2 linked regions of the Mytilus edulis genome follow. The protein of the gene in region 2 purifies or fractionates together with the protein of the main gene of each other region. This does not show direct contact. Links are inferred from orthologs where the notes say so. Each region holds a gene or a part of one and is shown on either strand. Other genes may lie near its edges.

What was found.
Region 1: the proteins of proteasome assembly chaperone 1-like (region 2) and proteasome maturation protein-like purify together in Homo sapiens (affinity purification with mass spectrometry; 4 studies listed by BioGRID and IntAct, with this or other methods). This does not show direct contact. The link is inferred for Mytilus edulis from reciprocal best matches to the Homo sapiens genes PSMG1 and POMP.

What each region holds. Positions count from the first base shown.
Region 1 is NC_092351.1:6,550,425-6,559,013, forward strand, and holds the start of proteasome maturation protein-like, read left to right. Parts: upstream 1-5,164; 5' UTR 5,165-5,179; coding exon 5,180-5,194; exon of another isoform or gene 5,195-5,395; coding exon of another isoform or gene 5,396-5,407; intron 5,408-8,589. Other genes in the region: vascular endothelial growth factor receptor 1-like, read right to left, coding at 4,763-4,838. UniProt on the Homo sapiens protein: Molecular chaperone essential for the assembly of standard proteasomes and immunoproteasomes. Degraded after completion of proteasome maturation. Mediates the association of 20S preproteasome with the endoplasmic reticulum.
Region 2 is NC_092353.1:70,413,456-70,421,630, reverse strand, and holds the start of proteasome assembly chaperone 1-like, read right to left. Parts: upstream 3,248-8,175; coding exon 3,057-3,247; intron 1-3,056. Other genes in the region: synapse-associated protein 1-like, read left to right, coding at 3,566-3,839, 6,419-6,501. UniProt on the Homo sapiens protein: Chaperone protein which promotes assembly of the 20S proteasome as part of a heterodimer with PSMG2.

The sequences.
Region 1 (8,589 bases), on a different chromosome or scaffold from region 2:
CATGTAATTTAAAAAACTTAAATATTAAAATAAATCATTTATTTTGTACCATGTCTACATGCATATTTGCATCAGCCAATTGTCAGATACCCTTGTACAATGTTGTACAATCAGCCAATTGTCAGATACCCTTGTCCAATGTTGTACAATCAGCTAATTGTCAGATACCCTTGTCCAATGTTGTACAATCAGCCAATTGTCAGATACCCTTGTCCAATGTTGTACAATCAGCCAATTGTCAGATACCCTTGTCCAATGTTGTACAATCAGCCAATTGTCAGATACCCTTGTTCAATGTTGTACTGTCAGATACCCTTGTTCAATGTTGTACAATCAGCCAATTGTCAGATACCCTTGTTCAATGTTGTACAATCAGCCAATTGTCAGATACCCTTGTACAATGTTGTACAATCAGCCAATTGTCAGATATATATAATTTTATTTGCCTCCTATTGGAGAGTATGAAACAAAGCAAAGACAATTACAATTAATCATATACAAACAACACGAGTTATGATTTACACAGAGACAGTCAATAAAGACGAGATCACAACGAAAAGTTCAATTATTTACATAGAACAGGCTATTATTTAAACTTGGAATTATTTTTAATTATGGAATTTGTTAAATTTTCTGTGCTGGAAATTTTTAATAAATTCCATGTTTATTTGGTATAATTTTGTTTTGAGCAGTTCATAACACTTTCCATATAATGTATTTTGTATAGATAGTGTTGTGCGCGGCACAGTACATTCTATTGAAAATGTACTATCTTCTTTGTAAATGAAAGTGTTGTGCGCAGCACAGACCATTGAAGTACAGAATAAGCAAGGAATTTACTAGAAATTTCAAGCACAAGAAATTATAAAATTTCCATAATTAATAATAATTCCAAGTTTAAATAATAGCCTGTTATATGTTCATTACAGTTTGAAGATAGTTTATGTACTTCTAGCAGCAGTTGCGGTTCTGTAACAATTTACAAGAATTGTAGATAAAGTTCATACACGTGAAGTTAAACTGTTCACGTTCTTTATTCTGTAGATCAAAATCGGTGTCACAGGCAAGAATACAATTAAGCAATTTATTGTCAGTCATATTTCCTAAGTGAACACTAAATGAAATCGGGTTTATGTCTATAACACTCCTCCAAAATTGATCTCGAGCATCAACTGTATAGTCACATGATAGTATCGCATGAGTACAAGGATCATCAAAAAGTTTACCACATTTATCGCACAGTATTCTGTTGTTTTGTAAGTTCTCGCGTATAAGACAGCACGTTGATGTTACAAAATGGGCCTGTCTGCGCATCAGTGGGTGACGCAGTGCTACTCTCCACGCCGCATGCGGTACACAAAACGAGTGAATGTCTTTGAAAACAACAAAATCAGGATCCACTGCCATACGATGATGCCACTTTACTACCTCAACCTGGTAAATTGACGTCTTGACTACCGATTTCCAAATTGCCGAACTTGGGAATTGTCCATCATTGAGAAACTGATCTAGATATTTCGATAAACCATATTTTGTGAGTATTTTAATAATGTCACAAGCGAAACCTGATCTTGTGTCATATTGATTATATCTAGCATCAATGAGTCTACGGAGAAGAATACGGAATGAGACAGCTGAGTATGGAAGGCGACATGTTCTTCCAAAAAACAACAGTTTTCGTTCACATATAAAACTTTCAATTGAAAGCCATCCTAATAATGACACACACATGTCGCTTCTTGTTCTTCTTGGTAAACCTTGTATAAATTTACAAATATAGTGGTGAGTTCTTTCAAGCATCAGTATTTCAGTGCAGGTAAGTTTTCCCCTGAGTTCACAACCGTATAGTGCTTTCGGATAGCAGAGCTGACGTATAATCTTTGCACATTAATTGGATTTACAATGGCTGGGTGTATTCCAAGGCGTATAACTGATGTCGTTGTCAAGCGCAAGGTGCGACAAGCTTTAAGAGTTCTGTCCATTGTTTTTAAAGATGTATCTAGTTGAATACCAATATGTCGAGCAGAAGTTACATAGTACATCAGCCAATTGTCAGATACCCTTGTCCAATGTTGTACAATCAGCCAATTGTCAGATACCCTTGTCCAATGTTGTACAATCAGCCAATTGTCAGATACCCTTGTCCAATGTTGTACAATCAGCCAATTGTCAGATACCTGTACAATGTTGTACAATCAGCCAATTGTCAGATACCCTTGTACAATCATACAGAATAGATTGGTGTTAAGCATGTCTGTCAGAAAAGTCATGTACATGTACAGAAACTAGCAAAAACAGACCATGTTCTTAATTTGACTGTTGGTAACTCACACATTAGAGATGTTAATTGCGAAAAGCTCCTTGGGGTTTTTATTGATGAAAATCTTGAGTGGACAGCCCAAATTGACACTTTGTGCACAAAAATCAGTACCAGACTAAATCTTTTGTCTAGGATAAAGAAATCCCTCCCCCTAGAAACACGAAAGTTATACTTTAATGGTTATATTCTCCCTATTTTGGATTACTGTTGTACAATTTGAGGAAACACCAGTGACCAAAATACAAATAGATTAGATAAACTTCAAAAATGAGCAGCTAGAATTATTCTTGAACTTCCTTATGATACCCCATCAAATACAATGTTTAAAAAGTTATCATGGCTTCGATTTACTGATCGTGTAATTTACCACAAGGCCTTATATGTTCATAGATGTTTATATGGATCTGTCCCAGAATATTTGTCTAACAAAATCTCCTATGTTACAAATAAAAATGGAATGCAACTTAGATCAAATACTACCCAATTACTTAATATACCAAAGGCAAGAACAAACACATATATAGAAGATCTTTTTCATATTCTGGCCCAACTTTATGGAATAAACTACCAGAAGCACTAAGACATATGTCAAACATAAATACTTTTAAAACAAACTGGTTTAAGTTTTTACTTGAAAATCCAGGAATTATTTAAATGACTATGTATCAATTTTGATTTATGTTTTCTTATGTTTATCTTTGTTATGAAGAAATTGTGTGAATTGCATTGTGAGTGGAGTGTGAGGGCCTCAAGGGAGAATAGTGTTTGTACTAATTGAGCATACCCTCTTGAAATAAAGATTATTATTATTATTATCATGTACTTTGTATGTGGTTGTAATGTAAAGTTCAATAGGTTTTATAATTCTCTGTGGTTCTACGTGGTCTCATGATCAGTATTAGGCAAAAGATGTGTATGTACATGTATCTATATACATGTATATATACATGTATGTAAAAAAAATAAATCATGTGATATATACATTGTTCATGTATAGGTAAATATACACTTGGAGAAGACATTTCTTACTTGAAAAAATTGTGTCTAATTGGTTTGTCCTTATACATGTATATATTGAACAATAAAATATGTAAACTATAATTGTTTTACATGGTTAAATTTCACTTTTAAACTGGACATTTAAAAAGATACTCTTTGTGAAATACATGTACATGTACACAAATGTATGTATATTTCTCAGGTTTACGATGATTTTGGTTAGACCTACTGTGGCTAAAGGCACACAATGTAGTGTAAACTTGTATATATATATCATGTATATTACAGATACAAAAATAAGAGAGATATGGGGTATTTATCAGTGTTTATGGAATTGATTAAAGTTACAACTTTGACAAAATTAACTAGACTAGGATTCAACTAACTATCAGAGACATATAATACAATGTCTCCCCAACTATATAGCAGACACGTGCTAATACTGTACATGTATGTACAAAAGTGTATGTCAAGCTCTTACAATGAGTGTACATGTACATGTATGTCTAGACAAATTGTGAATGAAATTACGAAATTAAAGACTTAAGACCTACAATCAATATAACAGTTTCTATGGGCAAAAGTCACTTGGATACATTGGGGTATGTACAATGTATGTGTCTTATTCTAATAATAGTAATCTCTATAAACCAGCCTTGCATAGGAAAACTATCCTCTTGTTAGCCTGCAGCCAGAGGGAACACATTTTATTTCATGACTTGTAAAATAAAAACACATTTATACATGTATGTCTGCTACATTTTTTTTGTTTGTGTACATTTATTTTATTCTAAACATGACTTCAGAAAGAAATTTTGAAAAAGGATGCTGGCATTCAATGAAAAGCATGCACTTTAAATAGTGACTTACATTTATATTAAAGGCTAAGTGTTTCCATTTAGCTTTGTCTTTAGATATATAAAATGTATGCATGTAAAATGTAGATACATGTATAAGAAGATGTGGTATGAGTGCCAATTATACAACTCTGCATCATCATGATCATTGTCCATTTAAGTCACAATTTATATTTAAAGTACTGTAAACCATTGAAGGTCAAAGTTCAGTCTTCAACATGGAGCCTTGGCTCACACCATACAGCAAGCTACAAAAAAAAATGTATAAAGGGCCCCAAAAATGACCAGTATAAATTAACCATTCAAACAGGATAACTGCCAGTCTAATCTATAAAAAAAAACAAGAAACAATTTAATGTCAAGTTGCACAATATATATGAACCACAACAACAAAAGACAACCACTGAACATCAGTTTTCTGACTTAGGGACAGTTGCAAACACATGCAGTATGTTTAAACGTTTTAATAGGTACATGTACATTTGTACCAACCTTCACCCTTACCTGAAACAATATTGTAACATCACAACATAAAAAGACATACATTGCACATGCACTTGGTGAAATAACTTATTGTTAAACTTACGATTCTGAAAGGTATCTACTGATATTATCCAAAAAATCACGAAACAGCATACATGTTTTGAATGTGTATAATCCATTTTCAGGTAAAAAAAATGTTCAGGTGCTTTAAACTTTTTCTGAAGCAGTTAAGAGCTAATTTCCATATCCATGAACATATAATCAAAAGATAATGTACAATTTATATTTAAATACACACTTATTCCATATCTAAAAACGTAAAAATCAGACTTAGTGTGATTTATGTGTCATTTTCACTTTCTATTTATCAACGTTTTTCTCATCAAGCATATCAAAGGAGTTCCTTTTGGCTAATCCAATTATCTCCCCAAAATCAGAAAAAAACTCAGTTGATAATTATTCCCACAAACTATTACAGAAAGCGTAAAAATATTCAACTGAATCTACCAAAACCGCTTTGATGTGTAGTTTAAGGGTATGTAGTTTAAGGGTAGTATTAACAATGTTTGAAGAAAAATACAAATTTAAAAGCTCGCAGGAGGTAAAAGTATCAGCCTCTGAGTAAAGGGGTTCCCCGTTCCCGGAGTCTTCGGACTTTTTCATGTTTGAGTACGATAAATCTCGTAACTGGGGAAAGCCCACTTAATGCGCAAGATAGGAAGTTTAATTTACCAACATGGCGAACTTGGTAAGAAACCTGACTTGCAATTTTGATTGAAATGATTTCAAAGCGGCTTGCGCTTATAAATGCTGTTTTAATTAATGAGTATAGTCAATTTTATTGTTTCCTGACTCTGAAAACAACACAAATTATTTTCACTTGCACCCAAGTAGTTGTTTCCCGTGTTAAATGCGAATAAAATTATTTTGATGACCCTTTCTTTTGAAGCTTCAAGTCTTTTGAGACGTTTCGGCCACACAACCAGTTCGACCACATGTAGTTTCTTTCACAGGACTAGTTCGACCACAGTTGTAAAGGCAAAAGTCGGTGTGCCAACATTTGATCTATTTATCTATCTACATGTATCTTCATATTTCCACACTCAGTGGATTGTTATCCTATGTACATGATGTATATTAAAGTTAAGAAGATGAAACTAAAGGCTAAAGCAAACTTTATTGCATATAATTTATTTGTTTCAGTCTGCAGACTACACGTGGTACCTCGAATGACCGAAAAACACTGTTAATTTCAAAATACTTGTAATGACAGAATAACACTTTTTAATATTAGCACATATTGGTGACTTTTAAATATTGATTATTAAATAAAAGTATATTATCGATGTATTTTATGACTTATAAATGATTTACAGCTGAAAGCAGATAAGTTCATTAAAAACTTTTAAAATTATGACGACCACGGACATCACAATGGACACCATGTTCTCTGTACACATTAAATTTAAAATGATCTTTATGAACTTATCTGCTTTCTGAAAAACATTTTTGTGTTATAAGATACATCGATAATATACTATTATTTAATAATCAATGTTTAAAAGTCACCAATATGAACTAATATTAAAATTTCAAGTGTTATTCGGTCATTACAAGTGTTATTCGGATAATAACAGTGCTATTCGGTGATTCGTGTTACCTGACTACAAGTATAGCACATTATATATCTTTTAATTGGAACTTCACAATAGTGTGTCTTCCATTAATTATTCAGAGACTAGACAGAAACTCATACATGAGATATACTTTAACACGGGATCGTTACATATTGATTTGGCCAGCTTCCATTGTCAGACATGCAGAAACTGGACATGAGTTATTTGAATGTTCATACAAATGAAATTTATTTTTCAATGTCAAAACTTACCAAGACTAGGAAGACTGGTTCACAACTATAACATTTAGTTCATTCCCTGAGAATCTTAAAGTTGTTCAATGTATCTTAAGACTACATTTGTACATTGATAAAACAGTGAGCCTTCCTTCTAATGATTGTTATCAACTGCCCATTAGTTTTATTAAACCTCACAAACCTGTCATATCATGCACAATTCAATTGCCTATTGGTTAAAACGTATACAAGAATCTGCAGGCGTAGATACTGATATTTTCAAACAACATTCAACTCGGGTGCCAGTTCACTAAAACAAACAAGTTTGGAACCTAGACTTTGTTTTTGCTTAAATTAAAATTATAGAAATCCTTGATATAAGTAAATATTTGTACTCACATTTAACATACAATATTGTTATACCACTGCCAAAAAAATATGCAATCATATATTGGTATCACGTCGTTGTCGTCAGCGTTGTCTTTGTCTGAAGACATTTGGTTTCAGGACAATAACTTGAGTATAAGTAAATAGAAATCCATGAAATTTAAACACAAGGTTTATAACCACAAAAGGAAGGTTGGGATGGATTAACAGTTGATGAATTAGGGGCCTAAATACATTTTAGCATTTTTAGCTCACCTGGCCTAAAAGGCCATGTGAGCTTTTCTCATCACTTGGCGTCCGTCGTCGTCGTCGTCGTCGTCGTCGTCGTTAACAATTTTTCAAACATCTTCTCCTCTGAAACTACTGAATGGATTTGAATGAAACTTAAGATGATTGTTCCTTAGTATATCCTGCACAAAATGTGCGCTTCGATTTTTGATCCGTCAAAAAACATGGCCGCCGTTACTTAAAATAGAACATAGGGGTCAAATGCAGTTTTTGGCTTATATCTCAAAAACGAAAGCATTTAGAGCAAATCTGACAAGGGGTAAAAATGTTCATTAGGTCAAGATCTATCAGCCCTGAAATTTTCAGATGAATCAAACAAACCATTGTTGGGTTGCTGCCACTTAATTGGTAATTTTAAGGAAATTTTGCAGTTTTTGGTCATTATCTTGAATATTATTATAGATAAAGATAAACTGTAAACAGCAAAAAAGATCAGCAAAGTAAGATCTACAAATAAGTTAATTTGACCAAAATTGTCAATTGACCCCTTAAGGGGTTATTGTCCTTTAATGACAATTTTTCACAATTTGTTCATCATATTTGCTAACTTTAAAAAATCTTCTCCTCTGAAACTACTGAATGGATTTGGTTAAAACTTAGCATGATTGTTCCTTAGATTATCCTGCACAAAGTGTGTGCTTTGATTTTTGATCCGTCAAAAAACATGGCCGCCGTTACTTAAAATAGAACAGGAGTCAAATGCAGTTTTTGGCTTATATCTCAAAAACGAAAGCATTTAGAGCAAATCTGACAAGGGGTAAAAATGTTCATTAGGTCAAGATCTATCAGCCCTGAAATTTTCAGATGAATCAAACAAACCATTGTTGGGTTGCTGCCACTTAATTGGTAATTTTAAGGAAATTTTGCAGTTTTTGGTCATTTTCTTGAATATTATTATAGATAAAGATAAACTGTAAACAGCAAAAAAGATCAGCAAAGTAAGATCTACAAATAAGTTAATTTGACCAAAATTGTCAATTGACCCCTTAAGGGGTTATTGTCCTTTAATGACAATTTTTCACAATTTGTTCATCATATTTGCTTACTTTAAAAAATCTTCTCCTCTGAAACTACTGAATGGATTTGGTTAAAACTTAGCATGGTTGTTCCTTAGATTATCCCGCACAAAGTGTGTGTTTTGATTTTTGATCTGTCAAAAACATGGCCGCCGTTACTTAAAATAGAACATAGGGGTCAAATGCAGTTTTTGGCTTATATCTCAAAAACGAAAGCATTAAGAGCAAATCTGACATGGAGTAAAAATGTTCATTAGGTCAATATCTATCAGCCCTGAAATTTTCAGATGAATCAAACATCCAATTGTTGGGTTGCTGCCACTTAATTGGTAATTTTAAGGAAATTTTGCAGTTTTTGGTCATTATCTTGAATATTATTATAGATAA
Region 2 (8,175 bases):
AGCACTAATAGCTCCGCATTTAGGCTATTTCGTGGCGGCCAGTTTTTATTGGTGGAGGAAGCCAGAGTGACCAGAGAAAACCACTGACCTTTGATAGGAAAACTGACAATCCTAGTCAAATAAGATTGGGAGTCAAGTGCACCAGCACATTCGGGGTTCGAATTCACAACCACAGTGTTCACTGGCTAATGATTACAGTAGTAACTACTTAGACCACTCAGCCACGGAAGCCCCTTTGTTTTTAAGAACATATGTGTTAAGAAACAAATGGTAAAATACCTTTATATCATACATTTATTTTTACTTGGAATTTTTTTTTATATAGATCAGTTGATGACTGTTAAGAAAATATTGAAATTGATAAAAAAAAAAGTAAGTTATACCAAAAACATTAATCATGTTAATTATGATAGTTTATAAGAAATATTTTAAAGTGAAGAAGATTGTTGCTTTGACCAGCCTAATATTTAAATAAATGAATAACATGAATAATGTGTCCATGGGTCACATATAATTTTAAATAGGGATATAACACAATAACTGCTAAAGTGACCATAATTGGGACTTGATCAGGGTTTTGTGGTAATAAACATTGTATGTACCTTTCATACCATTTAGTTGAGGAAAACTTAAGTTAGAGAATGTTTATGAAAAATTTGGCAATATTTCCATTACTAAAGGGGCATAACTCTAGAATACTCAAAGTGATGCTACCAAACTTCAAATTTGATCTGTGTTTTGCAGTAATAAGCATTGTGTATAACATGTATAAGTTTCATAACATTTGGTTGAGGTACATTAAAGAAAGAGAACGGAAACAAAAAAATCAGCAATTTTTCTATTTGTAAAGGGGCATAACTCTAGAATGGTAAAAGTGACACCACTAAAATTCAAACTCGATCTGTATTTTGTGGTATCATGCATTGCATTGTGTAAGTGTCAAAACATTTGGTTGAGATAAACCAACTTTGGGACGTACCGTAAGTGTGGACGTACATCATGTACAAGGGTATAACTCAATGCCTCTCTGCTACGACAGGGCCATAAAACATGTTTCTATTCTAGTCATATCGTCGTGTAATGTGTTTTCGTACTAATAACAATTTTTACTGCTTACGGTTTTCACTGTGAGTTTTTATTCAGGTGTTTACTTAAATTTAAAAAGCATGTCCTGTAGATTGATTTTAGGTACTTAGTTTTTTTGTCAAGGCTTACTACGATTTTTTTAATGTTTCCAATAACTTTGAAATTTTTGTATGTCAAAAAAACGGCGTCATATGTTTTCGTATGAAATAAAAATTGGATAAGTACACGGACAGGAAATGACTATAAAATCCGAAAATTAATATTTTCTAAAGTCGTGGTTCTGGTGATCGCTTGAATCATAAAAAAAGTTATTTAATACTTTTCAGTACTAAAAATTACTAGTAAATAGTTTTAGGTTGGTGTTTCATGTGCTGAAATTATTAGATTTTTATTAATTTCAGATTGGCACATAGTTTGTACAAAATACATTATTTTTTCTAAAATAAAATGCAGTTTTCAAAATCTAGGATTAAATATAAACTGATAAAAAGTTAAGACTGTATTCATTTTCATGTATCAAGGATGTATAAAAAGAATCGTCAATAAAATATTGAATAATTAGGTTTTGAACAACCATTTTATCTAAGAACCCTGTTAATTTTAACTCGCTGATTTGTAATTAAAACGACAAAAAAAAAAAACACATGACCAGTCAGGGGACTTACTGAAATAGGTGATTTTTAAATCACTTATTTGAGTAGCAAAATCGTGGTTTTGTCACAAATTGGAATTTTGTATTTTTTTCCAAATTTTAAACTCATAGGTTTAAATAATATCTTTTAATTAGTAAAATTAAAAAAAAAAAAAACTTTTTGCTTCTTTTAAGTAGAAAGGTTTCTGCCTTTGATGCTATCATTTAGCTGAAAATTCTATTTTAGTTGAAAAAATGCTATAATAATGGCTTTACATAATGAACTGATACTTTCTTAAAAGATTTTTCCCAGCAGTGAGAGTATTTTTCCTGTGAAGTTCAAGGTTTCATCTTTCAGATTATGTAATAAAATTCTACTGTTCGCGATAAAAATCTCACTGTTCGGGGGTGTTGAAATTAGTAGGGATTATTAAAAGAATGATACTTAAAGAAGTGATTTTTGGGAAGGAAATTGAGGTCTGATACTTAAACAAGTGATTTTTATGTCATTATCCTAGATTCAGTACAAGGTCATCACCTGAAATGACCTGGTCATCCTAGACAACACAGATGTTGGTTCTGATAAGTTTAGAAACATAATTAGTCCCTGGATCATTAGTATTCTATATTTAAAGCTACAGTAAAATTAAATCACTTCTTCTAGTTATTAATTTGTACTACTTAATTAGGTGATTATTAAAGAAAGACAACTCTAACTTCCAACCTTTATGGAAATAATGTTACTTAAATCAGTGATTTAGAAAATCACTTATTTAAGTAAGTCCCCTGACTGATGACAGTCACATGTCTTGAAGATCAGATGTCTGAAAGGCAAAAAACCTATCTGGCCTTTATTCTAATCTTTCAGATATTTTTTCCACAACTATTCTAGTGATGCATATTTTTGACATTAAATAAAAATGGCTAAATAGGTCAGTTTTATTAAATTTGTTCTAACGTCTTTAAAAAGCGACGTTGAATGTTTTAAAATTGTCAAGTTGTAGTGGTGTTAGTGTTCTAAATAAAGAAACAGAAAAACACGCCACAATGTACGTGTATGCAGTCGAAACCAACGAAATGTGGTTGATACGAAAACATATGACACGACGATAATCATGATCCCCTGATCATTTGTTAATTGTTAATCATCATTTCTATGATATATAAAGAATTAATTATGCTTTTGTCATGTAATTGTTTAGAAAATACAAAAAAAAAATGAGTTGGAAATGTTTGAGAAAAAGTGGGGCGATTTTGTGAGGGCGGTTTTCAACGGGGCGAGTTGGTCCGCTTCCGATAGTTAGTAACAGACAAGAATTTCCAACTATCTGAATAAAACCTTTCAAAACATTCGGATTCGCTGTCGTTGTCATCGTCTTCCTCGACTGCTCTAGAAACTACTGGGAGCACTTCTCCAAAAAATGTTGCCATGCTTTGTAATGTTTTTATATGGTGATTTGTTTTCTTGTCAATATACACAGAAACTTGCTTCTGAAAAACAAATGAATGATTCAGACTTGTTATTTTCATTGAAGTGTCAAGGTCGTTGAAAGCTAAGTTAAATACTTTGATCTGACCTTCTTGCTACTATCTCCATAACTTTTATGTTGAAGTCAAAACTTTACTTCGGTCAATATATTAAGTTGTTATAACAAACACATTTATCATTATCACATCTTCATCTAGATCACGAAATTTAGGAGAGAAATGCGTTGTAAATGACATCGATTTGGACTCGAAAATTAACAGTACTTATTTTTTTGTATACGGATGACATCATTTCCGCCTTGTTGTAAACATTGAAAATCGATAATTCCGTCAGCTGTGAATGAAATAACAAAAACAAAAATGTTTAGTTCTATGACAAATTGGTTGGGAATGAGCCAAGAGAGGGAAGCTGAATCTGACGAAGAAAACAAAGAAAACAAAGGCAAAAATGAAAACAATGAAAAGAACCCTGATTCTGAGAGTGAGAAAGAAAAGTTGACATCAGACCCAGATAAAAAAGAACCAGAAAACAAAGAAGAAGGAGATGGCGATATCGACATTTCTTTGGATGCAGCTAAACATAAACTAGAGGATGTATCTTCTAAAGCATTGAATGCTGCTAAAGAATGGGGAAGTATGACAATTTATTATACTTGTTTTATTATGATTTGAAACCTTAGGACTTACTTGCCTTAGCCTAGGGAAAATTATATAACAAGAATACAAAAATAATCTCTACATAAACACCAATTTTAAGCTTTTTTAGTATGAGGCAGGCATTCTCTGTGAAAGGGGACGAAGTCTATATATTTTTTTTATTTTTATTCAAACATACATGTATTTTTACTTAAACAAAGAATCTGAAATACCTTAACGATTCCGATTTAGGTTCTTTTGTTAGGGATTTTAGTTGTGAGTCTTGTGACATTATTTGGTATCCGGTCGTTCCGGCCCCAAACCGATCCGGCCCCAAGTCAATCCGGCCCAAAGTCGATCCGGCCCAAGTCGATCCGGCCCACGTCGATCCGGCCCCAAGTCGATCCGGCCCCATAATAAAATAAGAAATAACTATATATATATATTCTTGGAGGAATTTGTGACACAGTATAAATGGAATTTGCAAAAAGTGTCCGATAATGGATGACAACAGGCAAGTGAAGTATTGGAGTACCAGTTAAAGAACTATTTTAAATCGATACGAAAATGATTGTTATTGTGTCGTTGGTTGTATAGCAGCTTCAACATATTTTAAAATATGAAGTTATTTTCCATGATAACTTTAACTTTTAACTCATGGCGATTTCATTTTCTTTTTGTTCATACACAGAATATCTAAATAAATATTTACAGTCCACTGGAACCTATTAAATTTAACTCATCATAATGACTTGATTAATCAAATCATTAGTCTATAATTGGTTTGTTTATTCAACAATTGTCTGATGATTGTGAACTAAGGTAATGCCACTTGTAATCACTTAATTAAATCAAATCCTGATTAATTGATCTTCTGGTTTAGGTTGGTGTATATAATAATTATAAATTGTATTTTTTTCAGGTAGCATCACAGGATTCTATAAACTGTTATTTGGATGGAGAGTTTTCTCATTGGCAATCACACCACATCTTCCTATATCGATCTATTTTTCATAAATTTATGTCTTCTCTTTTATAGATAGGATTCGGCAAATCAAACAACATTTCTCAATTTAAGAAATTTTAAGAACTTAAAAGAAAAACAAAGTTTGTATGTATCAGCTTGGGGATCGGCTTGTACCGTTGTGTATGTAACTATTTGTTATTACACAAGATGAAAGACTTGTTAGGATCACAGTCAATTGAAAGAAAACGCTAATTACTGCTGATTAATGTTGATGTCTGAATTGTTGTAATATAATTATACCCAATAATCTTGAAAACTTGTAATAAAAACATAATCAACCTAGTTGTTTTATACTCATCTGAAGAAAATATTTTTTAATTTTTTTTTACCGTACACCTTTAACATTATAATAAAAATCATAAACATTTATGAATTACTTTAATATATATCTTTATTTTTATTCCTTATAAATATATTTTTTTATTGGGGCCGGATCGACTTTACATTTGGGCCGGATCGACGTGGGGCCGGATCGACGTGGGACGGATCGACTTGGGCCGGATCGACGTGGGGCCGGATCGACGCGAAAGCCATTATTTAAGTAATGACGTCATATTCAATGTAAACAAAGAAACGCTGACATCAGGTTACTTTTTTTTCATATCAACATCATGAACATGATCAAAGAATAATTAAAAATGAAATTGTTATTGTGTTCCTTCCTATATTTTACTGGACTGACTCTAAATATATACAATTTATTTCACTCCAAGTCTCGTGACAAACAAGACCGGAAGAAGGAAGTAGATTTCTGCGCAAATGCAGGAATTAAAAAAAAGTTAACGATTTGGAGTTCATTAATACAATGAAAAATTTCAAGTAATTTTCCAATTTAAAAAAAAAAAAAAAAATTTTCTACTGTTATAGGGGACTTCGTCCCCTTATGAATAGTATTATCACTATTTTGGACACTTGACCTGATAATGAGCGACATTTAAACTATTGACTCCTGCAATAATCACTTTTTCTTTGTGGCCATCCACATTTTCTACTCACATTGTTGCTATTTATTCCAAAACAGATATGTTCTGAAATTTCACAACTTTTTAAGACATTGAACCTTTGGTAAAACTTTTCAAAGTGGCATTTTTAACCATTGTCATGATTGTAACCATGTAACAATAATACTTCAAGTCTTCAAATACATGTATATCATATGATTTCAATTTGTGTTTAAAAAAAGTTTATCATAAAATTAAAATATAAAAAATTAGTATGATTCCATGACAAATCGCCCCACAGGCACACAAGTGAAGCGATTTGCCTGTGGGGCAATTTGTCCTACTTCCAGGAGTGTGTCAAAGATACAACAACCTGACCAAAGAGCAGAAAACAATCTATCTGCCAGATATTTTTATTGTCTGTTACTTTTACACTGTACTTACATTTGTATTTATAATAGATGTGTATACATTTTAACTGTGCATGTCTCCTTTATATCCATGACTACACCACATTACACTACATTGCAATTGGTAATTCTTCAAAATTTTAGTGACACATGCACAATGTACATGTATCCAAATTTTTATCTTGATGTTTTGTTGTAGGTTACCTGTACAGTTTCAGTAAAGAAGCAGGCAAAACTGTGGCAGATAAAGCCAAACTTATTGGCAAGTCAGTGGAAGATAAGGTATATATCATACAAAATTGTGACAGATAAAGCCAAGCTTATTAGCAAGTCAGTGGAAGATAAGGTTTGTATCATACAAAACTGTGGCAGATAAGGCCAAACTTATTGGCAAGTCAGTGAAAGATAAGGTTTGTATCATACAAAACTGTGGCAGATAAAGCCAAACTTATTGGCAAGTCAGTGGAAGATAAGGTTTGTATCATACACAACTGTGGCAGATAAAGCCAAACTTATTGGCAAGTCAGTGGAAGATAAGGTTTGTATCATACAAAACTGTGGCAGATAAAGCCAAACTTATTGGCAAGTCAGTGGAAGATAAGGTTTGTATCATACACAACTGTGGCAGATAAAGCACAAACTTATTGGCAAAGTCAGTGGAAGATAAGGTTTGTATCATACAAAACTGTGGCAGATAAAGCCAAACTTATTGGCAAGTCAGTGGAAGATAAGGTTTGTATCATACAAAACTGTGGCAGATAAAGCCAAACTTACTGGCAAGTCAGTGGAAGATAACCCTTTCCTAGATCTTCCATCAATTTCTTCATTTTCCATCAACAATTGATGGAAATTGGATGGTACTTGATGGAATTCCATCCCAAACCAAAAAAATCCATCAAAGGATGATGGAAATTAGGAATATTTTTTCCATCAGCATTCTTTACCCTCTGATGGAAAATATGATGGCACTTATTCCATCTGATGGTAAATAGGATGGAAATGAAAGAATTTTGATGGAAATTGGACTTAAACATTTTTTTGATGGAAATAGGGATGGAATTTAGACTGTCATTTTTCTTGATGGAAAAAAACTTAGAAAATTTTTCCATCACAGGTGTCAGGTGCCAATCTGTTTTCCTTTAACCTTTGTGTACAGGATGTGACATCATAAGGCAGCAACCATTTGATTTTCTGGGGGGGGGCTATGGTTTTTTTTGGAAAAAAAAGTTTGTTTCCAGTTTTTGGAGAAAAAAATAATTTGCTTTTGATTCATAGAAAAAAAAATGTTTGTTTCACCCTCAGCTGCCACTATATGTAATGCTAAAATTGAAAGAAAAAAATTGTTTTCGACTTGTCGCGAAAAAAATAGATTGTTTTTCGCCACAGGCGAAAAAAAAAGTTTGCACAGAAAAAAAAAACCATAGCCCCCCCCCAGAAAATCAAATGGTTGCTGCCTAAATGAACACAGAGTTTGAGGCCCAATGAGGAGAGCACATGTTTTTATGTATTCTTCTGCAATATCTCTAACTTATGACATAAAAATAAACTACAAACAAACAATAAATATTTTTTATATAATTTATAGCAATTATTCAAGATTTAGATAATTAAAAGTATTTATTAGGGGCACATTTCAAAGGAATCAAATTGTCACAAGACCCTACACAACCTCAACAAATCAACAAATTCAAATTTGAACTTTCATGAACATGCAGACAAGAAGCAAAGATGTCTTCTGACATTAACAAATTATGAATTTTACAATGGATTTAGATCAAAAAGTTCTTATTAATTCTATTGACTTGGATTGAACAGTGCAGATGTATTCTTCTGATGACATAATTGAAGATAAGGTTTGTATCATACAAAACTGGCAGATAAAGCCAAACTTATTGGCAAGTCAGTGGAAGATAAGGTTTGTATCATACAATTCAGGAGCCTGTAAATCAGTGCTCT